4 linked regions of the Diceros bicornis minor genome follow. The protein of the gene in region 3 purifies or fractionates together with the protein of the main gene of each other region. This does not show direct contact. Links are inferred from orthologs where the notes say so. Each region holds a gene or a part of one and is shown on either strand. Other genes may lie near its edges. The genes, in order: BCL11B, GLI1, HDAC1 and core histone macro-H2A.1.

Region 1 (7,435 bases), on a different chromosome or scaffold from region 3:
CTTCCTCTCTTGCCCTCTCTTCCTTCTCCTCTTCTTCTTTATTTTGCTCTTTCTTCTATGCTGTTTTTTGTTTTGTTTGCAAAAAGAAAAACAGAAGACAAAAAAGAAAAGAAAAACCTCTCGATCTAAAATAGGAGAAAGAGGCAAAAAAAAAAAATGCTGTTGCTTGCCGCGGAGTGGCCGGTTTCTTTAAAAATATATTCTTCTGAAGGAAAAAAAAATCTCTTACACTTCTTCAAACTGCTTGGCCTCCTGGACTTCCAAATGTCTTCTTGAACTTAAACCGGATTTTGCACCGGCTCCTGAGACTTTCTTTCAGGGTCTGGTAGGTGGAAAGCGCACTTCTACCAGGAGGGGGGAAAAGGGGAAAAAATGCAAACAAATAAAAAAGAAAAGAAGAAAAAGAAAAGGAAAAAAAGAAAAGAAAACTTGAGGACTTGTCTCGTATCCCCTCACCCCGCCCCCTCAAAAAACCCACAGCAATGTAAAGCTGCCCCGGTTCGGTGGTTTCTGGGTTTTCTGCGGGCTGCCTGTTTTTTTTCTCGGAGACTGACCCTTCCGAGGCTCTGGGGGACTGACTCCAGGAGCGGCTCCTTCCCAGTTCACCTGGCAGGCTGGCGCCGGCCGGAGAGGCTGCCGGGTCCCCGCGAGCGCTCCCCAGCGCTCCCCTGGCGCCGCGGGCCCGGGGGGAGCTGGGCTGAGGGGCGGCTCGCCCAGTGCGCCTGGGTCGGTGCGGGCGCGGACTGGGAGCTATAGATTGCAACGTGAAGATGGCGGAGTCCGGGTTCTCTGGGAGCTCTCGGTCTCTCTATGGCTGGGGCTGCCTCTGTACAATGGGATAAAATTCAAGTTCAAGTGCGGACGTGACGTTTAATCTGCACTAGAGACAAAAAGACCCAGAGAGTCGGAGCACTGGGGGCGACTAGCGGTGGCTTTTTAACATTGTACCCTGTAAGAGAACAAGAAAGCACACACACACACACAGAGCCACACTCGCGCGCGCGCGCACACACATACACACACACACACTCGCCCGTGCGCACACCCGCAGTCCAGGCCGGCCACACGTGCAAACAGCGTTTTTGTGCGCTCCTCTTCTCCCCGTGCACTGGCAGCGCAAAGAGGGGGGAGACGGTGGGCAGGATATTTTTAAATAAAAGAAAACCCTCTTCATCCCTCCTCCCCTCCTGGGAGTAGGACCCCCTGAGAAGGGGGGCGGAGTGCTGCGTGCGTGGAAGTAAGTTGAATTAACGCAAGTCCCCACCCACCCATCGAAAGCTCTTTTGGACGTCGGGGGGGGGCCGGCGTTGAGGAGGGTTGGAGTCGACATGGGGGACATGGTCAGTCGCTTCATCTCCCTGGAAAAGTAGCTTGGTTGTTTTTACTTTTGTTTTATTCGGGGGTCGGGGTTAAACTTCCAAAAAGTACCTCCATATAAATCCTGATATTACAAACTCTGGGAGAGCGAAGTGGACAAAATAAAAGATATACAGAGGAGAGAATTAAGAGCACATTTGGGGGAGGGGGACATGAGACCTTGTTTGAGTCCCATTCCGGAAGGAATGCTCACCGGAATCTGTGAGCTCTCTCCACTTCACCCCATTAACTCCTGCGGGTCAAATCCGGGCCCCACCCCCTAACACCAGAGTCAGCAGGAAGTGGGGGCTAAGGGGGCAGGGGTGCTCCACGTGGGAGAGGGAGTTGTCGGCGCTGACCCAGAAGTAGGCGGGGCCGGTACTCTGAAGACACTCCTGTGGATGATCCCCTCAGGTCCCCCAGTTCCCTCCCACTCACTGACAATTATTGCAACCTGAAAGTGACGCCCCCACCCCCAGTGCTCCTCCGCCCAGGGCAGGACTTGAAATCTCCGGTCAGACTGGGAAGGACACAGCTGCCTTGTCAGCCGTTTGATCTCCAGCCGGCGAGGACAAGAGGAGTTGTGGGGGCCTGTCCGTGGCCCGCGGACAAGGCCAGGCCGCGGTCTGCATGGACACTCCGCCGCCCCCAGCCTCGTCCCTCCTCAGGCCGTGGCCAACTCGTCTATTTGATGACCTGACCTCCCGGGCTGGACGCGCCACGCGGTTGGACCTCTCTCCCTTCTCAGGGTTTCCTGGTCTGGGCCGGGAAGCGGCCAGGGCGGGTCGGGGCCTGGCTCAGGGCTGGGCTTCGCGGGCGAGCCCAGCTGCACCCACCCCACCCCGCCCCCAGGCCCGGCTCCGGCGGCTTCACCCGAGCGACTGGTTAGGCCGAGACGCCTCCGGGCTCGCCGCCTCCCTCGGGTCCTTTTCCTTGGGGGGCACATGGGGTTTTTGTTCGCCTCCAAGGTCTCGGGTGGGGTCACCGTACCAGCAACTCAACAGAGCGCAGCGCCCATTAGCGAGGCCAGAAAGAGCTCCCTGCCTAAACCACCCCCCCAAAAATAATAACAATAAAATGTGCCCCAGCATGCAGTTTTGCGGACTGGGCTGCAGGGTCGGCGGCCAAGCGGGTGGAGACTGGGCGGTGGAAGGGGCGGGGGCAAGTCGGCACTCCCCCTCCCCACCACTGCACGCCGCTGCCCACTACTCCTAACCCACACTCCACCTCCACGTGGTCCAAAGTCTAGAAGCGCCTCCCTCTCCTCTCATCTAGCCCCACCGCGAAAATCTTTCCAGGAAAGTGGCCTAAGTAAGAAAAAATGCCCACACGCACCTTTCATAAACTTCTTAAGAAAACCATAAACCGGTCATCCCAACTCGCCCAGATTCTTAAATTTGGAAGAGCTGTTAGGTCTCTTTCCGAGAACTGGCCGTGTGAAGTCCAGAGAAGGTTAGCGTTTTGCCCAAGGTTACACAGCGCAAGGGGCAAGTCTGGACTCCAATCGCCGCCGCGTGCCTGCTGCCCCGCGCCGCCTGCGCTCCGGCACCCGAAATCCCGACACGCGACACTCGCCCTCGGGGCGATGATAACAAGGAAGGGGGACCGGGTCTGTGGCTGCGGGGAACGCGGCAGCCGCCTTCAAGAAAGGGGGCCCTCCGCGGACTGCGCGGGGCGCCCAGGGGCCCCGGCTGCAGCTGCCGCCCCCCGCGCGCTCGGGCGGCGGAGTCTGGGGAGGGGGCACCCCGCCCCACCCCCAGCAGGAAGTAGCGGGCAGGGGGCGGCGCGGGCCGCGACTGACCCGGGGAGCACTTCCTCATTGGCCCCGCGCTGCCCCGACGGCGGGAAGAGGGACGCGCGGGCGGGCCGGCGCAGGGCCGGACACGCCGCCGCCGGCCGGCGCGCTCCACCTCGCGGCGGCCCGGGAGAGGCTGCCCTGCCCCTGCCCAGCCCGCGCTGGCCCCTTGGCCCTCCTCCTCCTCCTCTCTCCCGAAAGGCGGCCGGGCGCAGGCAGCAAGCGATCCCAGCTGCCGCTCCAGTCTCCTTTTTTTCCCTCTGCCCGTCTGGCACGGGCATCATTAGCGGTGGAAGCTGTTAATGTCTGGTCTCACAGCTCCCCCTTTAGTCTTGCTGCGCTCCCTGTCTCGCGTTCCAAGCCGGATCAATAGCCGCTTCTCCGCCGACCTTGACCTCTCCCTCGACCCCGCCCGGCTTAGGCAGCTGGCCCACACTAATGTTTCCCCACTCTCCGGATGCCCAGACAACAGGCGGGCGGGGCGGGAGGAGATGGGGAGCCCGGGACACAGCCCCGTCCCTACCCTTTCCTCAGAACCCCAGGCAGACAGGGGACCCAGTACTCTTCAGAGAAGGTCACGGCGCGCGCACACACCCCCCCACCCCACCACTTCATCTACCAAGTCTTTGTTTAGAATAAAAGTCACTCCGTCCCCCAAAAAAGGGGGGGTGAGGGGGAGCGGGTGCTTAACATATGAAAATAAAAGAGGAAAAAGTACAAGTACAAACGTGGTCCTGAGTCATATTACAATCCTTCAGACTCATTTCTCCAGCACCTGCTGCAGACCTACTGGGTGCTGGGCCCAGGGCTGTGGCTTTGTGCAGACTGCAATCAGATGGAAAGAAATACCACATTTTCTGCACTATCTTTAAAAAAAAAAGATAAAACAGCAGATGTCAAAAAGCTTTTTGAACTCACAAATATTTCCCTGCTTTTCTTTTTCTAGCTTCAGAGTGCATTCCAGCAGATAATCCCCCATATTCTCAGTCACTTTAAATTTCTTTATAGAAGAATAGTTCAGAAATCAGAAATCATTGCATCAAATCAGAGTGCATTTTTATTAACCTTGTGTGGGGCTCTGATTCCCTATGTGTGCTTCTCGTACCATGCCACGCATGGGGGGGCAGATTAAACAGACACGTGACTTCCTAGCCAGGCTTCTTGTTTAAAATTCTCTGAAGGATTCTCAATCCTTAACTCTTAGCTGAGGTGGGCTCTATTTGCGATTCTACAATGTTATCTTTGCCTTCTGAGCTGTTAGATTTTCTATGACGTCTTTACAAAAATTTGGAAAGAATCAAGATAAGTAGTGTCAGTAGAAATGAGAACTCCCAACGTTTATGCTGGAAAAAAATCGACTTTTCATTTGCTGTTTTTTTTTTAACATGGATCCATCCTCTAAAATGTAGTCAAATAACTTTGTAGCAATATACAAACTTAACAGCACATCTTACAGAACCGGTTCATCTATGGTGCTTTAAAAAAAAATCCGTGCAAAGAGAAGGCGAATCTTTTCGTATTCACAGGTGTAGGGCAGACTCAGAAGCAAACTGTGTCTGCTAATTTCTACTCCTCAGGATCTATAAACGCTATTGACTGTGAAAATGAGGATAAATAAAATGCAGCGTTCTGATCAGTGGATTGACTTGTTTTAACTTTCAAAGAAACCGCAATGGAGGTACTAAGCAAGTCATATTTATGTACATATTAATAAGGCTCCCGAGATGGTCCTTATCTTCTTCTTACAGTTCTAGAATCTCTAGGAGCTATCAAATCCAGAAGCATAAAAAGACAAAAGAGGCCTTTTGGGCTTCCCGGCATATCTTATAAAATTGTTTTATATCATTTCTGAAAATTACGGCAAATTTCTAAATGCCGTAAGCACTCAATTCAGGCTTTGCTGCATTTGGAGGAGTTTTTCGGATTGTCACCTTATAGCAGAGACAGGACCACAAAACTTGCCTTCTGATAATCGTTTGGATGATTCTCTCCGTGTCCTGAATTTAGTAACATCGCTTTTGTTAAAACATGACATCATTTGCACCTTACTTATTTCTGCAAGTAATATTTGGGCTTGATACAGTAGTAGATTTCCAACCATTGCTTAACTGCGGGAAGCATAGGCAAGCTCTAGAAAAACTAAGAGGCATCGTTGCCTGCTGTCTTTAGAGCTGCAGCCTGCAAGGGGTTAAATCAAAGTCACTCTTCCTGATTCATGTATTATTTTCCTTAAAAAATACTTACCCAGCTCTCCGTATATGAAAAAGACTCACACCCACATTGACTGTTCCTAGCTCTGTCCCTGTCATCAGAAATGATATTGAATGGCTCAGTACTAGGGGATCTGGAACTATTTCTACAGCTTTCTCACCTCATTTGGAATTTTCTTGCCTTGCTAATTTTAATGCTTTAGTTGAGTCATCAATTCAAATTCGGTAGGGACTGGCATCACCCAGTTGGTCGACTTGGGAGAAATATTGTTCACCAAGACAATCAGACTCCACCAGATCCCACCCCACCATGTGCACAGAGATCAGAGTGGCTGTGGGGAGTGTGTATGCGTGTATGTGTGTGGTGTGTGGTGTGTTGTACAAAAGAGTCTCTCTGCTGCTTTCCCTCTTGTCACTGAGTCTCCAAATTGTATGACTAAAAGTGCAACACACACACACACACCAGTTTAAATTCAGGGGTCTAGTGACTGTCAATCTACCCTATTTAGACCACAGACAAGGAAGAGAAAGAGAGTTAAAATGGTTCATTTGGGGAAAGAACTGGGATGCAGAAGGGAATTTTCAGTTCCGACTCTGGCTGTCAGGCGCTGCCGTCAGAACTGGCGCTGCATTGAGTCTGGTGATAGGAAACGGGGAGCGGCCGAGATGGAGGCAATAATGATCACCTTCCTAACAAGGGGTTTTATGAGGCTGTGAGGATTAATTAGTTTGTATCCTTAAGCAGTTTGAGAAAGAGGAAGTTTCAGTAAATGCTAAGCAGGAGTTGTAGACAAGTCTGACTCAGTTGCAAGCTCTGCCCCCACCGCCAATCCCAGGCTCTGAGAACTCCTGTCTGTGCTGTGATGCTCCACAAAGAAAGCAGTGGAAAGAGAATCCGGGGAAGTACTGGCCTAGGGAAGAACAGAGAAGGAGAGAGAAGCACGAGTCAGGCTAGCATCCCTCCAAAAGGCAGGCTAATGAGAAGGCTGCAAGGCGGTACTTACCAAAAAATAAAAATAAAAACCAGCCAACACCTTGTTTCGCAAATGCCTTCCAGAGCTGGAAAAGAAAAAAGGATCTGGGAGATCTCATCTGTTGTTTCGTAGTTTTGGAAACAGGCACGTATGCTTTCGAGTGAATTAACAAAGGTAGTTTGTATCCTAGAAAACACTTAAGTGGCGTTCCCTCTATTTAATAGAGAAGGGTTAATGTTGCAAGATGACAAGCACACAAGCTTCTGCAACACAAAGTTTGAACCACGGGCGCATTATTGGAGATGGAATAGTATACCTATAGTACGTGGAAATTATAAAAGTTGCTCTATTGTGCACGTATTAAAACATTGCATCTGCGTGAAGACACACTTTCAGCTCAATTTACAAGGCAAACAATTTGCTACAACAAAAGATAATTAATGCTGCCCAGGGAAAACCGAGACGCTGAATTGCTGTGCGTTCTGGTATTAGTTTAATCTGAATCCTTTAAAAAAAATGATTTCACTGTGATTTTTAAGCCTTTGGGATCGTTGAAACAACAATGGCTTCTAAAATATGGATGTGGCAATAACGTTTCCATTTGAACTTGTGACAAAGCCCCTCTGCCTCTCTCTCTCTTCTCTCTCTCTCTCCCTTTCTCCCACATGTGTCCTGAAATGAAACAGTGGGTGAGAGCGAAGACGCCCATCTCTGACCTGTCTCCGATGGTCTGCCATCTAAATACAGGGCAGATTTACGGTCGATTTTTTAACGTCTGAATTTGGACCTCCGGATTCAAATGGGTGGATTCCTCAGCTGTTGGGATTCAGTTGGAAATGCAGTTTCATTATTTGTATCTGCTTAACAGGAACAATTAGAGAACTGAAGAGTGAGGAGGCCTGTTTGGGGACCATTTTGGTATTGTACCCAGACCACACATTCCGGCTGGGAAGGAACACAGTAATGTATAAAGCATTAGTGGGTTTAACACTCCACGTTGTGTTTGGGGAATCGAATTGTCGATGTTTCTGGCAAGAACTCATACTCCAATTGAAATCTATCAAACACCTTAATTAGCTCCCGGTACCTCAATGCACCCA
Region 2 (7,570 bases), on a different chromosome or scaffold from region 3:
ACCAGAGTTCTCCTTCCAACCCAGAGACCCCAGAGAAATAACCACTGGAACTCCAGCTGCCTCGTGGAAACTGCTGCAGCAGAGGTGGCTGGGCAACCTAGAAAGACTGGGGTCTGGGGGGAAATGGCCCGGCCCCACCTCGTTCATATGGAGTTCCCGCCCCCGAATTCCAGACCTTGGGGCCTGAGCATGTGAAATCATCCTCTTTCTTGCATCATGTGTGTCCACATTGCCCCCCCACCCCCATACCCCTACCTCAAGCTCAGTGACCAGGGCCAGATGGTGAAACCCGAGCTCCAGGGGGGAACCTCCCCCCCCTGCAGGGACCTGATGGGCAGCACAGCCGGCCAATCCTGAGGCTCAGAGGGTAGGTTGCCGGCTGACCACTAGGTGAGGGAGCCCCAGGCCACTGGCTCTAAAGAGGCCCCAGTCAGTAACAGACATGAGCTGTGAGGGTCAAACTGGCAGACTTCGCTAAACAGAGCTACCCATCGGACCATCCTCTTCCTGCCCTCCTGAGTCCCAGGCAACAGAAGACAGGTGGTTCTACCCTTGGCCAAGGGTAGGTGTGGCACTGCTGTCTGCTGCTGCTGTGCCCTCGTTAGCCTCCACGCAATCAGATTCAACAGAAGGAGCAACTGCCGTCTGAGGCTCCCAACCCGACCCAGGGCCATCCGCCAGGAGCATGGGGCTCCCTGATGTCCAGTTCCAGCTGGTGCTGCTGTGGGCGCTGGTGTGGGCACAGGGGGCAGGGTCTGTGTGCCCCTCCTGTGGGGGCCGCACACTAGCACCCCAAGCAGAACGAGCTCTGGTCCTGGAGCTAGCCAAACAGCAAATCCTGGAGGGGCTGCACCTGACCAGTCGTCCCAGAATAACTCATCCTCCACCCCAGGCAGCGCTGACCAGAGCGCTTCGGAGACTACAGCCAGGAAGTGTGGCTCCAGCGAATGGGGAGGAGGTCATCAGCTTTGCTACCATCACAGGTAGGTGAGGGAGAAACAGGCAGAGAGCAGATGGGGAAAAGGAGGCAGAAGGGGAGACTGACAGAAAAGGCAGAGGGAGTGGGGTGTAGGAGGAGGAGGCGGAGATGGGGCAGGGACTGGTTGCGGAGGACGCAAAGCAGTCCCTGTTTCTTCTAAAGGTGGGTGCTAGGGAAAGCAGTGGGCCGGGCTTATGGGACTCTCAGAGCAGAGCTTCATCTCTGCTCACGTTCCTCAGTCCCTTCTCCATCTTTCTGGCAGACTCCTCCACTGCAACCTGCAGCTTCATGCTCACCTTCCGCCTGTCCACTCCTCAGTCCCACCACCTGTACCACGCACGCCTCTGGCTGCACGTGCTCCCCACCCTTCCTGACAGTCTTTACTTGAAGATCTTCCGATGGGGCCCAAGGAGGAGGCGCCGACGGTCCCGCGCCCTCCTTGCTGAGCACCAAATGACAACCCCGGGCTGGCACGCCCTGACTCTGCCCTCTAGTGGCTTGAGGGGTGAGGAGTCTGGTGTCCTGAAACTCCAACTAGACTGCAGACCCCTAGAAGGCAACAGCACAGCTGCCCGACAACCTCGCCGGTTCTTGGACACAGCGGGAAACCAGCAGCCCTTCCTGGAGCTTAAGATCCGGCCCAATGAGCCTGGAGCAGCCCGGGCCAAGAGGAGGACCCCCACTTGTGAGCCTGAGACTCCCTTATGTTGTAGGCGAGACCATTATGTAGACTTTCAGGAACTGGGGTGGCGGGACTGGATTCTGCAGCCCGAGGGGTACCAGCTGAATTACTGCAGTGGCCAGTGCCCCCCCCATCTGGCTGGCAGCCCCGGCATTGCTGCCTCCTTCCATTCTGCTGTCTTCAGCCTCCTCAAGGCCAACAACCCTTGGCCCTTTGGTAATTCCTGCTGTGTCCCTACTGCCCGAAGGCCTCTCTCTCTCCTCTATCTTGACCGTGAAGGCAATGTGGTCAAGACGGATGTGCCAGACATGGTGGTGGAGGCCTGTGGCTGCAGCTAGCAAGTGGACCTGGGGGTTTGGAGTAAAGGGATCACGTTGGGGGTTCCCAGGCAAAGGGCATCTGTGGCTGGGGGCATCAGATTTCTGATCCACAGCCCCACCCAGTGGGCCACCTGGCAATATGACTGGGTTGACCTCTATGGGACCCAGATGGGCACTTTCTTGTCCAGCCTCTGGCCTATTCCAGGCTGGTTGATGTGTGGGGAGATAGGGAAAGTGTGTCTTCTAAAGGAATCTACCCAGAAAGCATGATTTCCTACCCTAAGCCCTGTGAGAAGATGGCAGAGGTGGGGGGGGGGGGGAGGAGAAGGCAGAGAAAAATGACTTAGTCTCTCTCAAGAAGAGAAAGTCCTCAAGTGAGGGAAGGAGAAGCAGACCGAGGACCCAGCAGGCTTGGAACAGCGGAACCGGCTGGCCAAGGGTAGGGGCTGTCGAAGTGCTTTAAGGGAGGGTCAAGAGGGAGATGGGCAAGGGGCTGAGGGAAGGTGTTCAGGAGAGCCCCAGAAATGGGAGTCAGGAGAGAAGGGTGCTGGGCCTGAGAAGTTCCCTGGTTTTTCCTGGGGGGGCAGGACCCAATGGGGAGACAAACGTTTCTACTTTCCTAATAAAAACAAGGAAAACAAATCAACAAGTGTGAGTCATAAAGAAGGGCTGGGGTGATGGTCCAAAGCAAAGGTTCTCAAGGTGCGGTCTGGGGACCCTTGGGAGGTCCCTGAGACCCTTTCAGGGATGTCCCCAAGGTCAAAACTATTTTCGTAATAATACTAAGATGTTATTTGCCTTTTTAATTTTCATTATCTCGAAAGCATACAGTGGAGTTTTCCAGAGGCTGTGTGACATGTGATTACATCATCTGACAGCATTGTTAATGGGATGGTGCTTGTGTATTCTTGTGTTACAAACTTTTTTTCAGTTTTAATTTCTAATATGGTAAATTGATATAAACCACATAAACAAAACCTCAATAATTTTTAAGTGTAAAAGGGTCTTGAAACCAAAATGTTTGAGACTCGCCGATCTAGAGACCTCGGTGGGGAGGACAAAGCACTGTGCTCTAAAAGAGCCAGCCTGAGGGAAGGGGCAGATGGCTGGGACTGGAGCATGTGTAGGGTCCCTTCTTCTCTAGTGACCATTGGTCTTGCCTGACCCTCTGGGTATAACTGGTGTCTGGGTCAAAGTCATGTGGGGGAAGGAGGGTCAAATGTCCCTGCCCAATTACTACCTATACTTGTAGGGCCTCAGAGGTCTTCCTAGCTGCACTTTTTCCATGGACCCTCAGACTGAATACTGAACCTAGTGACCCCCCAGGCCCAAGGAAGTGGTTCTTGGAAGCAGAGCTAGGATGTGGGAGGTCTGTCTGAGGGGTGACATAAAAGGAGGGGACTCCTTTCCCCCACCACGCTTTCTCCCCTTTCTCATAAGGAAAAGTCAGAGAGACTAAAATAGCTGCCCCTTCCCCTGCATCTGGTCGCCATGGCAACACAAATCCCAAGGCACAGGGCACTCGCCTATCAGTTAGGTACTACCGCTCTGCGCTAGCAGCCTCTGCCGGTGTGCCCTCCGTTTCTGTGGGCTCATACAACCCCCTCCCTGGGCTCCTAACTGGGCCTTGGGTGGGGAGACCTGCTAAGTCTCCCCCAGTCTCCTCTGCCTCCAGTCAGACTCTGAGAGGGTGTGATGTGGCAGAATGGCCAGCAGAGGGAGCAGACAGCCTTGAGGAGCCGAAAGAGAGCGGGCAGCGCAGAGGTGCGGAGGTGGCCGCAGTCTCCAGAATTTAGAGATGAAGGAGAACGGAGGTTCTCAGGGAACATGCTTCAGCCCCAGGGCTCCTTTGTAACCTTGTGAACACACGCTGCACCCAAAGCCTGAGCCACCTGCTCCTCTCTTTTGTGCTTCATAGACTCCCTCACCTTCCGCGCAGGGCCGGCGACCCCAACTCTGTCCCAACCCTGTTTCCATCAAACTCCAACTCTGTCCCAACCCCTTCACGTTCCATCCGATGGGTGAAGCCGGCAGATAAACCACAGGGTGGCGGAATGCTCAATCAGCACCAGCCAAAGTCGACGACCCAACCTTCAATATTATCTTTCTCGGACGAACTTTTAGTCGCCCCGGCCCCCCGCCTCCCCCCCCCCCCCGCATATATCTATCAATCTTTTTTCTGGTTCTGATTCAGGGCCTCTTCGTGGGTAGTCGATCCAAGGATCCATGCCGGGATTTACTGCCCACCAGCAGCAGCGTGTTCAGCGGGGGGGCAGGGGGGGCAGGCAGTATAGGGTCCCTCAAGGGAGGGGGAGGATCCTGGGGGTCCTGGGGGTGCAATAAGCCCGGCACCCCCTCTCTCGCTTCCAGTTACCCCGCCTCATCTTCCAGAACGGTGAGAGGGAGGGAAATAGGAGGGAGGTGAGGGGCGAGCGGGAAGAGCGGCGGCGCGCCAGCAGCTTGAGCGAGAAAAAGTTTTTGCAAAAAGAAAAAAAAAGTTTGCGCTTCTCGCGGGTGGTCCCGGCTCGCGGCCCGGCGGGCTGGGCCGGCGGGAGGGCTGGGGGCCAGGTTAGGGCGGTGGGGGTGGCACTGAGGCTGCGCTGCTGTGGCCCTGTCCGCCCCCCCTCCCCACCGCACACCCCCAGCCCAGACTCCAGACCTGGACCGCGCATCCCGAGCCCTGCGCCCAGGCGGAGGTGAGAAGGGGGGCGCGCGGGGGACCACCTGGGAGCGGTGGGGGAGGGGGCTTGAGGGGATGCTCTGCTTGCGAGGGACTCTGCCCAGCCAAGAGGGAGACCTGGGGCCCAGAGGCAAAATGGGGGTGGGAGAGCCTGGGGTGAGATCTTAGAAAGTTTGGAGAATTTTTTCATTTGTGTCTCCGTTTCTCTGTATCTTTTTTTCTTCTGACAGTCTGTGTGTCTCTGTCTCAGGCAACCGTGGATCTCTTTGTCTGTCTCTGCCTCTCCCATACATTAGAAACATCTCACTTCCATGAGGTTGGGATGAAGAGGCTGGAGGGACGGCTAGCTGGAGGTCTGCGTGGTAGAGGGAACTCCAGGTGTGTCTCTGAGCGCCGGGCAGGAAGACGTCAGTGTTTCTGAAAGGAGGGGACAGCTAAGGAGAGAGCCCTAGGTGGGGTGGAGATGGGTGTGTGTGAGGCGACAGAACCACCGGGGGGCGGCTAGGCTTGAACCCCTGACCTGTCTTGTGACAGATGTGCTTTCGGGTGCATGTGTTTTGAGGAAGAGGAGTGCCTTCTGGACTAGGAGGGTGGCTGGAGGGGCCAGTGTCTAGTTTAGGCCCTAGAAAGACTCCCCAGGGAATTTGGACTCCTGAGTCCCAAGGGCTGTGGGCAGGGTGCTAAGGAGGAGCTGAGGAGACCTTGTCTTGACCCTCTGACCTCAGGACCACCAGGGCAGCTGGGGCCAGCCGCAGGGAGACCCCTACTGGGACTGGGCGGGACCACTGGCCGCTGCCTGCTTGTGCATCCCTGTTGGCCCCCCTCCCAAACGGGAGCTGGGGACCGAGGCCCCTCCTCTGGCTCAGACCACCCTGCCTGCCCTTGCTCCCCGCTCTGAAGCCTCTTTCAGGCCCCGTGACCCCGAAACAATCCGCCCTGGGCAGCTAGCTTTGGGGACAGGATTAGGGAAAGGGGATCCCATAGAGACCGGGGACTGAAGGTTTTAGGGGGCTGGAGAATTGGGGTCTTGATAGGATAGATCTTTACGGTCCAGTAGAGGGAGAAGGCGGGGCGATTTCCCGGGGGAGTTGTGAGGGCCGGAATTAGGGTGGTTTTCCCTAGGGGGGCGGGGTCCAGAGACCCCCCCCCATTATCTCCCCGGCATCCCCTGCCAGGCGGCACAGACCCCGCCCTTGACGTCACTAAGGGGTTCCCGGGGGTCTGGAGGGGTTAACCCTTGGGAAGCCATCCGGGACACCCGGGAACCTGAGGTGTCCTGGCACCTCCTCCTCCCCATACACACCTTATTTTATTTACCCACTTTCTCTCCCTACAGTTTCGGCATTCTTCTTTCTTTTCCACGCCGCCACGGGGACCCCCACTCCCCAACAGTGCCCCCCCCACCCCCGCGCCACTGCCAGCTTTCTGGATGCACTGAGGGGAGGAGGGAAGAATGTGTCCCGCCTCTCACCGCCCCCCTTCCTCCGACTCCACTGCGGCTCGCTCGACTGGGCTCCCGGGGCGGGCGGGGGAAGCGGAGCCGTCTGCAGCCAGAGCCTGCGGCGGCGACTTGGGTGGGCCGAGAAGGCACGGAGGCGGGGAAGGCGGGACCGGGAGAAGGGGGCGGGGCCGACTCCTGGGAGTTGGGGAGCGGGGGTGCGAGGGGGACTCTGGAAAATAGGGAGACACAGAAGATGATTCAGGGCTCCGGCAGGGGAACCCTGGAGCTCCCTGCCCCATCCTCGCTCTCACCCACACCCCAGGAAACGTAACTCAAGCTGGAAAAGTTGGCGAAATTTTTCTTTCACTAGTGTGAAGGGGAGACGTGGGTGGGCTGTGGCACGCGTGGGTGAGGAGGGATGTCGCCCCACTTCCAACTCTGCTCCCCTGCGGCTGGGCTGTGGGGCAGGACGATGAGAGTAGGCACGTTTGGGGGAGTCTCTTTAGTGTTTGGGGGGTCATTTGCGAGCCCCCGCCTCCTTCCCCTGGGTGAGTCATAGAAGGAGGCGGGAGAAGTGTCCCCCCATCCAGCTGCCAGCCAGCTGTGCCCCCCCACCCAACCTAGTGCCAGGGTCGAGTTGGGAGGTCTTGGATGCGGGACCCGGATCTCCGCTGGGAAAGGAGGAGTTAGGAAGGGTACAGCCCAGGCTGCGGGGTTCGGGCTGGATCATGGGGTCCCGGTTCCGCTCCCCATCTTACCCCGCCCTCACCCTAAATCCCAGCATCCCGGGATCACCCACCGCGCCGGCCGGCCCGCTCCCGGTCGTTCTCCACCCTACCCCGCCCCACCCCACCCTCAGTCCCGGGAAACCGGAAAACCCGGGGCGGAATAAAAACTGGAGTTTGAGGAGAAAAGCGGACAGCGGCAGCCTCTCCTCCTTCACTACTCCTCTCTAATGGATGATGGCTTCATTTTTTCATTCTCTCAAAGCCTTCCTTCATAGTCCTTCTCCTGTTCCCAAAACAGACCAAAAGAATTTAGATGGGAGCCCAGATTCAAACCACCCCAGAATAACATCAGAAAAACATTTCATCCTTTCACCCAATAGACCCGGGAGGCTCCCCTCAGAAACCTTATCCCCTTCTACACACAGTTTTCTGCCATAGGGAGAAAAGGGCAGATCGTCGGTGATCTCTCCTGGCCCCAGCAGCTTCTGTCTGGGCTGTGGCGAGAGCGCCCTCTGCTGGACACTGGAGAGACTGTAGACGGGCTGTCCCCGGGCAGGAACAAATGAAGGAGAGGGAAAGGGGCTGAGGCAGAGGAGCCAGCCCAGGGCTTGAAGTCAGATGCTCCGCATGAGTTCCCCATCCCACCTGTCAAAGCTGGCCCGTGGTCTGAGCAAGAGGAAAGAGAGGGCCCATGGTATAAAGTCACTTGAAGCTCATATAGGCACAATTAGTCCACACCC
Region 3 (6,927 bases):
GGACCAGAGACACCATCATTTTCTTAAGAGTTTTTAACCAGGTTGCTGAAAGACTTAAAAGAAATAATCCTTTTTACTTAGATACTACTTTTAAACTTTTAAAGAGCTTTTCCCCATTTTCATAATTTTTCAGTTTTATAGGAGAGTGAGCTGAGGCCTGGAAGGGTAAAGTGACTTGCCCAATACTGCAAAGCTTCTGAGTGGCAGAGCCAAATCTGAGTCCCAAGCTAGTGACCGCACTGCAAAACTCACAAGAAGTTTCTCAAAAAGAAGTCTCCTTCTCTAAAGACCAGGATCTTTCCACTTTTCCTCTTTTTAAACTGAGTGTGTGGAGATCACAACTGTGCAAACTAATATGGCTACAAAGTCATAGGCTCCAGCCTCAAATGGGCCCTCACCACCGCCCAGCACTCCTTCCAAATTTCTTTTCCTAGCTCCCTCTTTCACAACAGCTATTGAACAGCTCTCTCTCTTCAAGATTCCTACTCTACCAACTGCCCTCCCCGACTTGCAAGAAAAAGACTATTCTCTTACTTCATCTTGAAAACTCCCTCAACTTCCTCCCCACCTTCTCCCCCTCAAACCTACCTACACTTGAACTCTTCCTTGCCACTTACCCTCTTGTCACGAAGGAACTTCCTCTTGAAGGCTGGTGTCCCTAACTGTGCTCTGGTTTCCATCTCACCTGGTCTCAGAAAACTCCATCATTACTAGCCCCTCTCTTATATCTTCAACCTCTCCTTCTCTCTGGCTATTTTCCATAAGAATTTGGAAATTCAACTCTCAGCCACTATACCTCCCCTTTATCAACAACCCTCTCTCTCTGCCCTGGAGAAGCTTCCTTCAAAAAGGGTTCAACCTGATGTCTCCTCTTCCCCCATCCATTTGTTCCTCAGTCTACTGCAATCTAGCTTCAGTTCCAAACCCTGCACAGGAAACAGTGCTTGCCAACACTAGGCCACTCCCTCCCTGTTTTGGCTACTGTAACCCAACACTTTCGGATTCACTTACATCTCTGGCCATTCCCTCTGTATCTTTGTTCATTTAATCAACAAGTATTTATTGAGAGCCTACTATGAGATAGGCACTGTTCTGGGGGCTGAGCATACAAAGGTAGAGAAGACATAGTCCCTTTCCCTAAGGAGTTTACTGTCTGTAAGAAGTATGAAGAAGTAAATGGGCAATTCCAATACACAGTGACAAGCGCTATGACAGAGCATGAAGGGCACTAGACTTTTCCTCAGTCCACTTCCTTAGGATTCCACGCTGGATCCTCTTCCCTTTGCACCCCATACAACTTCTTGGGTGACCACATCCTCTTCTGTAACTAAAATTACCATCTGTATGCTGACGACTACCAAAAATTGCTCTCTTCTAAACTGCAGACCTGAATGGCCAACTGCCTACTGGACACCCAAAAACTCGGATAGCCCCCAGACATATCAACGAATTTTTCTTAAAAAAAAAAAACAGTTATCAACTGACATGGCCTTCAAACACTCTGTATCAAACTGTCCAAACCAGAAACTTGGGATTCTCACCTTCTTCCCTACCCCTGCGTTCATGAATTTAATTTCTGTCCTAAGGTATAAATCTGATTATGTCACTAACCTGCATAAAACTTCAATGATTCATAAGCACCCTCAGAATAAAGTCCAACTTCCTTAGGGCAGTATGCCCAGCCCTTCAGGATCCAGTCCCCATTTACTTCTCCAGCCTCATCACTGGCAACCTTTCCCTGGCCCCTGCTCCCTACCCTCTGCGCTCTGCCCTCAGATCTAGGCCTCAGCCATACTCTACACACAACTGCTGTTTTCCAAAGGTGCTGTCCTCTCTTACCCCTAAACTTGCTGTTATCTTGGACTTCCCTGTGCCAGGCTAACAACTCCTGTTTTTCAGGTCCTAAGAGATGGCACCTCCTTCCCTGACTCCTCATGCCGGGCCGAGCGCCTCCCCTCTGTGCTTTCCTTGATCCCGCCATGATAGTGGAGAGCAGCTCTCCGTCATTGTCTGTCTTCCCCTCCCGACTGAGACGAAGATGGGAAGTGACCTGATCCTCCCATGGCCCCAGCACCTCAACACTCCCTACAACAGAGCAAGTTGGTCGACAGATTTCTGTTACATGAAAAAGTCTGTTTTAATAGGTTGCATCCTTCTCCCTCCAACCCCAGGGGCCCCATTTCCCAGCAGCAACTGCAGGCCCTGCTCGCAGGCGGGGGGAGGGGAAGCCGGTGACCACGAGTTGGTGATTCCCGCAGGACTCTCACCAAAACAGAGGAGGCAGGGAAGGCGCGGGGGAGACCTTTGTCTTCTCAGCAGGAAACATACACCCTTGCAACCTTCTCCATCAGATTCTGCCTCCTCCCTCAGACCCAGCCTCCCCTCCAGGAGTCCCCCTCAGTCTCCACATCAGCCTTCTTCAGGATTCCCCCCCGCCAAGATGACCTCAGGCTTCCCTGGATGACCCCCTCTCTGCCTCAGCCTCTTCCCTCAGTCTCGGCCTCCTTCCTCTCAGCCTCCTCCCTCAGCCCCGGCCTCCTTCCTCTCAGCCTCCTCTTTAAGCCTCTATCTCCTCTCCTCAGCCTCCTCCCTCAGTCCCAACCTCCTTCCTCTCAGCCTCCTTTCAGCCCCGACCTCCTTCCAATCAGCCTCCTCCCTCAGTCTCGATCTCCTTTCCTCTCAGCCTCCTCCCTCAGCCTCGATCTCCTTCCAATCAGCCTCGTCGCTCAGCCCCGACCTCCTTCCAATCAGCCTCGTCCCGCAGCCTCGATCTCCTTTCCCCTCTGCCTCCTCTCTCAGCCTTCCCTCAACGCCCCTGCCTCGCCCAGCCTCCCCCCTCAGATCGCCTCAGCCTCCCTCTCCGGGATCCGGCCGGGCCAGGCCCCGCCCCCGCCGCGAGGCCGGGGCTCACCGTCGTAGTAGTAACAGACTTTCCTCCTGGTGCCCTGAGTCTGCGCCATCTTGCTCGCCTCCCGTCCCTCCCGTCGGTCGGTCCGTCCGTCCTCCCGCCCGCGGCTCCGCAGCGTCCGACCCAGGGGGGGAGGGGGCGGGCCTCCAGCGCGCTCCGCCCATCCCCTCCCGGGATCACCTATAGCCGCGCAGCCCGGGCACCGCTCCAGCCAATCAGCTCGCGCAGGGACGGCCCGGAACTCGGCAGGGGGCAAGGGCAGCCCTGAGAGGCCGCCTAGGGCCCCCTGGGCCTGTACCAAGGTCGACGACAGGGGGGTGGGGGAAGCTGCCCGGGGACCGTACCATTAGTCCCGGGGGAGGAAAGCGGTCTGTAAAGTTCGCAGTCCCTCTTTGGGGTTGGTGATCAGAGGTCAATTTTGTAATTTTACAAAGAATCACCTGAGGCCTATGGGGGAAAAGTGACTTGCACAAGGTCACTTAACTCACAAAAGGGCTGAACCTGGATTAGAACCTGAGTTTGGAGGAGGGAGGGGTAATCTGACAAACGAAAGAAAACTGCTGGAGGCCAAGTACTGTACAATAGTTTTACCAGCGTTATTTCGGTTATCTCAGGCCTCACAACAGCTTTGGAGTAGGGCTTTTTATCCCCATTTTACAGATAAGCATAATGAAGTTCAGGCCTTTGTGACTTGCTCAGAATTGCACAATTAGTAATTAAATTCAGTTTTCAACTGTACAGACTTTTTGAAGGCCTACTATGCACCAGAGGCTGTAACAAAGTAGCAGAACCCAGACTTTCTTACTCCAAAGCCTACCTTCCTGATGCAGTCACCCAGAAGGAGTGCCTTTAAAAAGGAGGAAATTGATTGTCCTCTTCTGGAGCAGGGTTTCTCAACCTTGAAGCTACTGACATTTTGGGCTGGATAGTTCTTTATCGGAGGGGGCTATCCTGTGCACTGTAGGAAGCTTAGCAGCATCCTCGGCCTCTACTCGTTAGATGCCAGTAGCACATCCCCCAAGTTGTGACAACCAAAATTGTCTCCAGACATTGCAAAACTGTCTCCGGGGCAAGGGGGGAGGGGATTGGAGGCAGTGTAGAATTGCACCCCCACCCCCACTCTCCCCTTGAGAACCACTGCACTGATGATCAGTCATCAACTGGTCATTATTGAAAGCTGAAAGACTGAAAAGCACCATGATGGGCTATTAAAATAACAATTACAACAATATTAATATTTAGTGAGTGCTTACTATATGCCAAATAAGTTACTCACTCATGGTCCTATAGTCAATAAGATACATTTTTATTCCTCTTTACAGTTTAAAGAGTGCTTGGACACTTGTGTTCCTCGCTTGGGAACTGCATTGGGGTCATTAATGATAAAGGTAACAGAAGATCTAAGACCGGTCAGTTCTACTATAGAAACAGCAAAGGGCCAGGGCCAGGGAACACACCCTATTCCCAGTTCTGTGTTGCTGCTTCTGTGTTGCTAGGAACCTTTCTGGACCTCCATTTCCCTCTTTGTAAAATGGAGAATGAGAATAAAAAGTTCACAGACTCTATGGCTACACTGTCCAAATGAGGAGGAGAGTGGGGATCAGTTGAAGTCATGGGTGTGGCAGCATTTTATAAAATGTAGAACAGGAATCTCAAACTCAGATGCCTAAGGAGATCAAGCAGGTGATGTAAATGAGTGGATTCATACTATATTATTTATATTAGTTTGATTCTGTCACTTTGCATATTTTCAAAATTGGATTCTTTTTCGCTTTCATAAATAAATATGCATTTCCCCCACCTTTCTTCAAACACACTGCCATCTTCAGGTATCTTTAATTTTCTCTTTTTAATGGAAATGTGGGTGCAAAAAATCATTTCATTTTCCTCTTTATTGTAAGAAAAACAGCACGAGCGTGATAATAAATAGCTACTAACACTTAGTTTAATTGTCTGGGAGCAATAGGGAGTGGAGGAGACTTTGGCAAAGAGAGAGCTCATGCCCCACCTGAAGAGTGTGGCCACTACTCAGCTCCATGAGGACAGGTAAGCCTGACGGAGCCAAATCCTCCTGTTTTTTTCAAGAGAAGGCAGAAATCTGGAGTTTTATGCAAAATCTCACCAGTAGTATAAATTGACTGCTAACTCAGTCTATTTTCAAGACGGCAGTAAGAACCATCCTTTTAAAATATAAGTCAGATCATGTCAGGCTCTGCATAAAGCCCTGCAAAGGCTCCTCAAAATGGCTCCTGCAAAGGCCACAAGGCCCCAGGCCCCATAGGATCTATACCCCTCCCTCAGGCTGTCGTTACCTCTCTGCGGTTGCCAGGCAAGCTTCTGCTTCATGCTGTTCCCTCTGCCTGACAGACCCTCCCCCATACCACATGGCTCAATCCCTCACTCCCTCACCTCCTTCAAATCTTTGCTCGAAAATCACCTTCTCAATGAGATCTTCCCAGACCACCCTCTTTAAAATTGCAAACCTCCCCTAAACATGACAGTCCTAATTCCCCTTACCCTGCTGTTTTCCCTTGAGCACTCATCACCTATAGCATACATATCCTTTACTTCTCTGTGATGTTTACTGTCTGTCTTCCATTACTAGAATGTAAGCCCCAAAGGGGCAGGGATTTTGTTTATTTTATCTACTATATATCCTATGAACCCAGAACCATGCCTGGCACACAGTAGATGCTCAATAAATATTTGTTAAATGAGTGAATTAACTCAATGTTTAAAAACATCTTGAAAGTGAATCAAAACATATCTGAGGCCAAATATAGCCCTTGAGTCCGTAGCTGTAAAAAATGCTAGTGCCCTTATATAATGGGAGGGGGGAGAGTCCTGGGACACACCCACTCCCTAGGAGGTTCTGGGTAATGGTCACCCTTAATCCTTTGGGGTAGTGGTTTGAAGTCCATACAGCAAAGTGTAGTAGCAAGTGACCTCCTCTTGGCCCCCAACATCAGCAGGGCTGGAAAAAGTTTACACATCCCTTATTCTATCTCTCACCCCAATTCAGGGTGACTCAGTTTCCATCTTCTGAATGCTCCTCCCCCCTCCCAAGGAAGAGGAGATGGGAGTGGGGAGCAGAGAGATGTACAATCTTCATCAACAAACAGACATTTATTGAGCTCCTGATGTGTGCCAGGCACCAAGGAGGAGCACATAGAGGTATTAGATAAAGTCCTGGCCCTCAAGGAGCTTCTTGATGACCAGGGGAAAGGAAAAGGGGGCGAGCAGAAGCTGGTGTCAATCACAGGCCTCGCTCCTCTCTCTGGTGGTCTCCGGAAGTGGGAGGGTCCAGAAAGGGACAAGTGTCCAAGACATATATGCACAGGCCACACATGTACAAGACACATGTGCAGAGCCCACACAACTACAGAACCCGTGTATAAGACACGAGAAGTGTGTGTGTCATGCATGGGCGGGATTCACGTGGTGCAGAGTCCGTACGTTCATAGGCCACATGGGTATGACACAAGAACCGTTATCTCCCAGAGCTGGGTTGGCTAGATGGGGGAGGGCTCCAGGCCCCAGCCAGCTAGGCCTCTCAGGGCTGGGGCTGGTACTGGCCCTCTGTGGCTGTGAAGAAGTCCTCCAGCACGCTGCGCAGGTAGTCAAAGGTGGGCCGGTCCTCTGGGCGCTCCTTCCAGCACAGCATCATGAGTTGGTACAGCTCATCTGGACAGTTGTCAGGTCGCACCATGCGGTAACCTCGCTCCAGGTTCTGAATCACCTCAGGATTGGTCATCCCTAGAGGTTAATGGGAGAAACAACATCAAGGCTCCAGACTTTATAATTTTTTTTCCCCCCAAAGCCCCAGTAGACAGTTGCATGTCATAGTTGCACAGCCTTCTAGTTGCTGTATGTGGGACGCGGCCTCAGCATGGCCGGAGAAGCGGTGTGTCGGTGCGCACCTGGGATCCGAACCCGGGTCGTCAGCAGCGTAGCGCACGCACTTAACTGCTAAGCCATGGAGCCAGCCCAAGGCTCCAGACTTTGGAAGCCCACAGACA
Region 4 (6,924 bases), on a different chromosome or scaffold from region 3:
AGTCCTCAATAATTTAAGAGGATAAAGGGGGTCTGAACCCAAATAGTTTGAGAACTGCTGTTGTAGAATAACTACCTGGTTAAATGTTCATAAAGGACCATTAAGTTTAAAAAGCACGTGATAAGCACTAAACGCAGTAGGAACCTGAATATGTTCAATATTAAGTAGATATGGTTGCAAAGGCTGGAAGGCGAACAGTGGTTCTCTTCTAGTGGTGTACTTAGGGTGATTTTTATTTTTGGCACATTTTTATTTTCCAAGTTTTACGTGGTGAACATGCATTTATTTTGCAATTGGAAAAAAAACCTGAGGGCTAGCCTGGCGGCATAGTGGTTAAGTTTGCGCACTCTGCTTCGGTGGCCCGGGATTTGCAGGTTCGGATCCTGGATGCGGACCTACACACCACTCACCAAGCCATGCTATAGCGACGTCCCACATACAAAATAGAGGAAGACTGCCACAGATGTTAGCTCAGGGCCAATCTTCCTCACCAAAAAAAAAAAAAAAAAAGAAGCTGAGGAAGCCCCCTGAGCCAGATTGGGGAAGGGGACAGGTCACGCAGATGGAAGAACAGGGCATGCAAATTGCTGGAGAGAAAGAGGGTGGAGCCTTCTGGAGCGAGCTGGAGACAGGGCCTCTGCCTTGAACAACGCCAGGGGACAATATTTCTAGTGAGTTCTATGAGAATGGCACGCTGTGGAGGGGTGTAGGGGGTGGAGTTGGCACCAAGATCAGCTTTTGGAGGAGTGCAGACTCTAACCCAAGGACAGTGGTGCATGACCGAGTGGGGACAAAAAGATCCACTCTGAATTGGGAGGTGTGGGGAGGACGGATGCTGGGTGGAGAGGAAATGAAGCCCCCAGAGGGGCTCTTTTCAGGCCTGAACATGAAAGCTCTGGTCCCAGATGAACGTGGGTTTGAACCCCAGTGCCAGCCTACTTTCTCTGAGATCTCAGGCATTTTTCCTGGCTTCTTGAATCTACAGTGTCCTCATCTGTACAAAGGGGATAGAAACGTCCCAGAAACAGCCTGTCTGCAGAGCTGTTGTGAGGAGGAAATGATGGGATATACGTGATCTGGCAGATGGTGAGAGTGCAATAAGATGGAGAGCAAGAAACGGCCTTTTACCCGCTTCCCAGTCACCAGGCAAATCAACTGAGTCAGAAACCAATGCTGGGCTGGAGGTGAGGGAGTTACTTCTTGGCTTCCTAGAGTTGCAGATTGGGATCTATTGGACAATCATCCTCTGCATCTGGCCTTGGTCATCACTCAGGACCTGGGGAAGAAGCAGCCTCAGGTCTGACCACTACCAGGGCATCAGCAGGCTGCAAGCATCTCCCCCTCTCCACACAGCCTGGCCTTCCCCGCAGCCCAGCAGTTCTCTCTCGTTCAAGTTTCCAGGAGTACTGCTTATGTTTTGCACCAGGGCCTGGACAGTGTGGTAACACACCTAGAAAGTTTTCCTCTCTGGGAAGGAGCCTGGCACGACCCTGGCACACAGCAGGTGCACAGCAAGTGTTTGTTGAGTGAATAAATGGAGTCTGGCATCCTCCAGACTTGCCATGGCCCACAGAAACCTTGCGTGGTGGCTGGCCCCTGCGGAGCTGAGACTTGCCCAAGGACCCAGGGAGGGGCAGAGCAATGACATGAGGTAGTCTCTGCACCTTCCCTGACACCCCTCTGCAGCTTCCCTGGGGGATCCTTATGCAGCCAAAATACTTTGTTTTGGGACTCAAAGAATCATCATTTCTCCAGCCTCACCTCCTGTAACTCTCTCCCCTTTGCTCCTTCCACTCCAACCTCACACTCACTATTCCTTTTTTTTTAATTGAGATATTAGACACGTAACATTGTGTAAGTTTAAGGTGTACAACGTGTTGATTTGATACATTTATATATTGCAATACGATTACCACCTTACTGTTAGTTAACACTTACATCACATAATTTTCTTTTTTTTAAATTTAATTTTCTTTCTTATTGGGGAAACATTGGTTTATAACATTGTAAAAATTTCAGGTGTACATCATTATATTTTGCTTTCTGTATAGACTACATTGTGCTCCCCACTAAAAGTCTATTTATCATCTGTCACTGTACAAATGTGCCCCTTTACCACTTTAGTACTCATCAGCAGATGAATGGATACAGAAGATGTGGTGTACATATACACACACACACACACACACACACACACACAAAGGAATACTACTCAGCCCTAAAGAAAGATGAAAGACAAATATCATTTCTTTTTTGTGGTAAGAGCACACTCATTATTCCTTGACAATTTTGGAATGTCCAATTCCTGCCTCAGGGCCTTTGCACTTGCTGTTCCTCATGCTTAGAACACTCTCCCCCAGATATCCACGTGGTTTGCTCCCTCAATTCCTTCATGTCTTTGCTTAAATGTCACCTTCTCAGGGAGGCCTCTAAAATTTGAAACCCCAACCCATCTCACCCTCCCTATCCTCCTTCTCTGCCTTATTATTTTTCACAGTGTTTACACCATCTGACACATCATCTCTTTTGCCTATTGTCTTTCTTTCCCTACTCGACTGCAAACCCCAGGTGGGCGGGCATTTTTACCTGTTCGGTTCACTGCTTCATCTTTATCACCCAAATTGATGCATGGCACAAAGTAAGACCTCAGTACTTAATTGAAATGAATGCATGAATGGCATGCATTGGACACTGCTTTGCAAACTGTTACAGTTTGGTGGGTGTAAATCATCATCTGGAGGAGAAGAGGTTACCACCGCTGCTGTAGGGGGCAGCCTGAGGGCTGGGAGGGGTCTTTGAGGACTTCCATAATCGTCCCCCCAACACCTCCAGCAGCGGTACACTAAACCTCACATCAACTCTGCTGGGCGTGTATTGTTATCTAAATTTGGTCACAGCTGGGTGCTGAGGTGGCTTCCCCTTCCACGCTTTTGGCAGATGGAGAGGAGGAGAGTAGAGGGAAGGCTCCTATTTAAGTACTCCGAAGGGTCCGCTAACGCCTTCGGGAGAGAAAACAATTTAGCAATACAAAGACCGGCTTTGAGGTGGCCCTTCCTCTTTCTGCTTGTCCGCAGTTTCAAAAAAAGTGTGTGATGATAAAGAATCACTGTTTATATTAATAAATCCCCACTTGGGTCCAATAGAGAACGTTTGCTGAATCGAAGTAGCTAACGCTTCCATGCGCAAAGCAGGTGCAGCCTTCTGAGGGTCACTATGAAGAGCCCGAGGGGAGCCGGATGTGCAGCAGCTGGCCGTGGGGTCAAGTGTGATGGGGTTAGTATTTAGAGACCGCGGGAGGCTCTGAGGAGCGCGGGAGGTTTGCATTGGCTGGGGAGGGAAAAGTGCTTGCTGGTAACAGCAACTGTGCCTCCCTCCCTGGATCAATGGGAAGACTTCTAGGGATAAGGCAGCGAAAGGCCCGTGCTGAGGGCCAGGCACACGTAGGCGCTTAATCAGTGTCACTCGAGACACACAGGCTGGGACGCGTTCTGGAGGAGCGCCTCTGCCTGGGGCCCGACCCTTTCCAAGGACTTAGCTCAGGACGCGCCCCAGGCTCAGGGCCGGACCCTGTGTCCGGCGTCCACGTCCAGGCGGCGTGCCTGAGGGCGGAGGGCCAGACGCCAGGGCCTCAGGGCAGCCAGGGGACAGACTGACCGACGTCCAGGCGGCGGAGCGCCGAGGGCCGCCGCGCGCGCAACCGCGGGCTGGGGTCAAGGCCGGGGCGCCCGGGTGGCGCGGGAGGGGTGGCCGGACGCGCGGGGACGGGATGGGATGTGACGAGCGGCGCGCTGTGCATTGTGGGAATCCCGGGGCCGCGGCGACTGGTTCCAGTTCACTCAGCAGCGGAGCCGGGCGGAGGGGGCGAGCGCGCGGCGCGGGCGGGAAGCGAGGAGGCGGGCGGGCGGGAGCGCGGGCGGGCCAGCGAGGAGCGCGGAGAGAAAAGGCGCGAGCGGCCGAGAGGGCACGGGCCGGACACCTTGCTGCTGCCGCCGCCGTCGCCGAGCCGCCCCGTAAGTGCCGCGCGGGCCCCTCGCCGCGCGCCCCGTCCCCGCCGCCCGGGTCCGGCCGCCGCGCTCTTCCGGCCGCGGGTGCCTGGGAGCGGCCGGGCCTGGCGCGCACCGGGCGGCGCTCGGCCGGGCTCGGGCTGCAGCGCTCGGTGCGGCCGACGCCGGGGCCTCGCGCGCGCACGGCGCCCTCCCAAGGCCCCGCCCGGGCCGCGCGGGATTCCCTTTGGTTTTGTTCAAAAAGCAAACCCGGAAGCCAACTTCTCCTGGAACCGCGTCCCCCTGCCCGCGCCTGGGCGCTTTTGTGGGAAGGAGACAGTTCTGGCCCCTCCCCCGGCGTCCCTTCCCGGTCCGTGCGGGCCGGGCCGGAGGCCGGAGGAGGCCCCGCGGCGCTGGCTGGCCAGCCTGGGCCTGGGCGTCCAGGAGCTGCTGTGCCCAGAGTTGTACTTGGTGAGGCGGCCGCCGGCCCGCGAGTTGCCGGCCCCGGCACAATAAGTCGGGCCCGAGCCCCAGGTGGCCGTGGTGTAGAAGTCTGGCTCGGCATCTGCCGGGAGCGTAGGGTGGGGGACTGGGGGATACTCGCCGGACTGAAGCCAGGCAGGGGCGGGCAGGGGGCTATCCAGGGACTGGCTGGAGAGGGACCACGGGAACCCCCGCTGCTCTCGCTCCTCTCCTGATCGGCCTTTTGTTTGCTTTGTGGTTGGGAGTTTTTTTTTTAAGGTAACTCCGGAAGGCTGTAGGCTCCTGGGTGGAGGAGGCCAGGAGGGAAGAGACTCGCTGGGGGTGGGGAGGAGTGGGGAGGTGAGTGTGCAGGATGCTGCTGGCCGTGTCACCTGACAACAGGTGTGCAGGGTGGCGCGCCCCACCTCCACTCCTGCAGAGACCACGAATCACTCAAGGGTCTTGTCAATAGATTGCTTGGAAAGTCCTTTTAGACGAGATGTTAGGGAAAATATTCTTGAGTTTGAAAGTGCGAGATTTCTGTGCAAATAGCTGAGACAAACCTTGAATTCAACAGTTACAGTTACCAGGAAGTCCTGGTAAGGTTTTAATGATCCAATAAACAGCGTATAAGAATAGACAATTAGAGGGGCACTCCTGCTGGCTTCTCTTTTTCTTCCACCTTTGTGGTTTGAGGTTTTACCGTCGAAGAGGAGGGAAAGTGCTTTGTTCCAAGGCTCCCTGCTCCAGGAACTGGGAGATTTTTGAACAGCTGTAGGTTTGAGTGGGAGACTGTAGTTGCAAATTAGGTGGAGTCCACCTACTGCAGGCCGCCTTTAGGGTACTTGTCTGCTATTAGGAGTTGTTAGCTCTGAAATGGACACCTCATGCCTGCACTGAAATTAATACCCCTTGTACACAACTAACCAGGGTTGGGCCGCGACATCTCAGTCTTGCACGAGAGGCTCTCCAATAAGGATAGATGTGTTTTAAAATCTTTTTTGTTTAAACCCTCAAGACTTTAAAAGTTTCCCCCCTCTAGTTTTAAGAGGAAAGTAGGAAATTTCTCCAGTCTGTTATTTTGTTTTAATGTTACCACTGTTAATGCTAATCCTTAGATAAAGGCATTAAGGAGGAGGGAAGGGGTTAAAGTAAGTGAAAATTGTTTAGAATGAGCAAGGGATGGCTCGCATTTGGATAAATTTGAAGAGTTGTCGGGGACATCACACATGAGACTCTAATACACGACCGTAAGTCACTGGCTTGGTCTACACCAAATGTGCCAGGGTCAGGGAGTGGTGCACCTCAGTCTGCCATTTCTTCCGGCCCTGGAGACGGCAGAACTCCGGGAGAGCCCTCATCCCTTCCGCACGCAGAGGCTTGGAGTACGTGTATTCTGGGACTGCCTCTAATACCTTCAGAGCTAATGCTGCCCCAAGTCATTTAAAGGAGACTCAAATAAACAAAAACACAAACTGAAAACCCCAAGCTGACAAAACCCAACAAGAATCTGTATGTGGTGTTCGTCAGAATTGCAGCAGCCTCTTGGTCTCATTTGAGTGTGTCTTGGGTTTTTGACAGCCCCGTTGTTGGTACATAGGCTGGGAAGGAGCAGGGGTGAGTGGGGCCCGTACTTGTCCTTGGTCCTCCCTGGGTTCTGTAGGTTTAGGAGTACATTGGGCCCCACCTCAGCTCTCAAGAGTGAGCTCACGTGGGTCAACTCTTCATTCCAAAGAGTCGTATAGCTTGTTTGCTTGGATCAAGCCTGCCAGATGGGTGTCTTGCAGTCTTTTGATAAATATTTCCTGAGAATCAACTCTGGGTCAGGCACTGGGGACAGGACCATGATCAAGAAATGCCCAGTCCTTGTCCTTGGGAAGCTGATGTGAGAAGGAGAAATAGGCAAGCATCCGTTGCAAGGTCAGTGCAGGAGGTCAGAGTAGCTCCCATAGTAGCCCCTGGGACAGTAACCTGGCCAGGAGCAAGCCTTTACCAGGCACTGAAAGGCCACGTAGGAGTCAGCTGGGCAAAGGAGGGCAGGTGGGGACAAGTATTTGAGGCCTGGGGAACCACATGTGCAGAGTCTTAGAAAATGAGGATAGAGGTGAGAACTGCCAAAGGCTCAGGATGGCTGGATCCTAGAGGGGGGTCAAGTGAAGCTAGAGGGTCAAACAGGCCGAATCTCAGAGGATGCTGGTCAGCAACACTGAGGAATTTAGACTTCATCCTGAGAGCAGTCAGAAGCCGTTGAAGGCTCTGAGCCGGGGAGACACATGGTCAGATGTTCTTTATTCTTATTGGGAAGTCTTCATCTATTCAACGAATATTGAATGGCTTCTAGATACCAAGCCCTACCAGGGTCCTGCCCTTCTGAAGCTCGCATTTTATCTTTTCCTTTGATGGTCTTCTGTTGGAGTGGTTATCTCAGAGTTTGGCACAGCCTTTAATAGAGGAGGTGTGAAGGAAAGTTTTCTTGTGA

The links.
Region 1: the proteins of HDAC1 (region 3) and BCL11B purify together in Homo sapiens (affinity purification with mass spectrometry; 4 studies listed by BioGRID and IntAct, with this or other methods). This does not show direct contact. The link is inferred for Diceros bicornis minor from reciprocal best matches to the Homo sapiens genes HDAC1 and BCL11B.
Region 2: the proteins of HDAC1 (region 3) and GLI1 purify together in Homo sapiens (affinity purification with western blotting; 3 studies listed by BioGRID). This does not show direct contact. The link is inferred for Diceros bicornis minor from reciprocal best matches to the Homo sapiens genes HDAC1 and GLI1.
Region 4: the proteins of HDAC1 (region 3) and core histone macro-H2A.1 purify together in Homo sapiens (affinity purification with western blotting; 3 studies listed by BioGRID, with this or other methods). This does not show direct contact. The link is inferred for Diceros bicornis minor from reciprocal best matches to the Homo sapiens genes HDAC1 and MACROH2A1.

What each region holds. Positions count from the first base shown.
Region 1 is NC_080763.1:44,454,259-44,461,693, forward strand, and holds the start of BCL11B (B-cell lymphoma/leukemia 11B), read right to left. Parts: upstream 3,006-7,435; 5' UTR 2,692-3,005; intron 1,718-2,691; exon of another isoform or gene 345-1,717; 5' UTR 1-344. UniProt on the Homo sapiens protein: Key regulator of both differentiation and survival of T-lymphocytes during thymocyte development in mammals.
Region 2 is NC_080756.1:11,495,204-11,502,773, reverse strand, and holds the start of GLI1 (zinc finger protein GLI1), read left to right. Parts: upstream 1-4,555; 5' UTR 4,556-4,677; intron 4,678-4,891; 5' UTR 4,892-5,039; intron 5,040-7,570. Other genes in the region: INHBE (inhibin beta E chain), read left to right, coding at 686-983, 1,242-1,999. UniProt on the Homo sapiens protein: Acts as a transcriptional activator. Binds to the DNA consensus sequence 5'-GACCACCCA-3'. Regulates the transcription of specific genes during normal development.
Region 3 is NC_080752.1:47,051,608-47,058,534, reverse strand, and holds the start of HDAC1 (histone deacetylase 1), read right to left. Parts: upstream 3,018-6,927; 5' UTR 2,961-3,017; coding exon 2,912-2,960; intron 1-2,911. Other genes in the region: tyrosine-protein kinase Lck, read right to left, coding at 6,462-6,664. UniProt on the Homo sapiens protein: Histone deacetylase that catalyzes the deacetylation of lysine residues on the N-terminal part of the core histones (H2A, H2B, H3 and H4).
Region 4 is NC_080740.1:54,404,665-54,411,588, reverse strand, and holds the start of core histone macro-H2A.1, read left to right. Parts: upstream 1-3,908; 5' UTR 3,909-4,010; intron 4,011-6,924. UniProt on the Homo sapiens protein: Variant histone H2A which replaces conventional H2A in a subset of nucleosomes where it represses transcription. Nucleosomes wrap and compact DNA into chromatin, limiting DNA accessibility to the cellular machineries which require DNA as a template.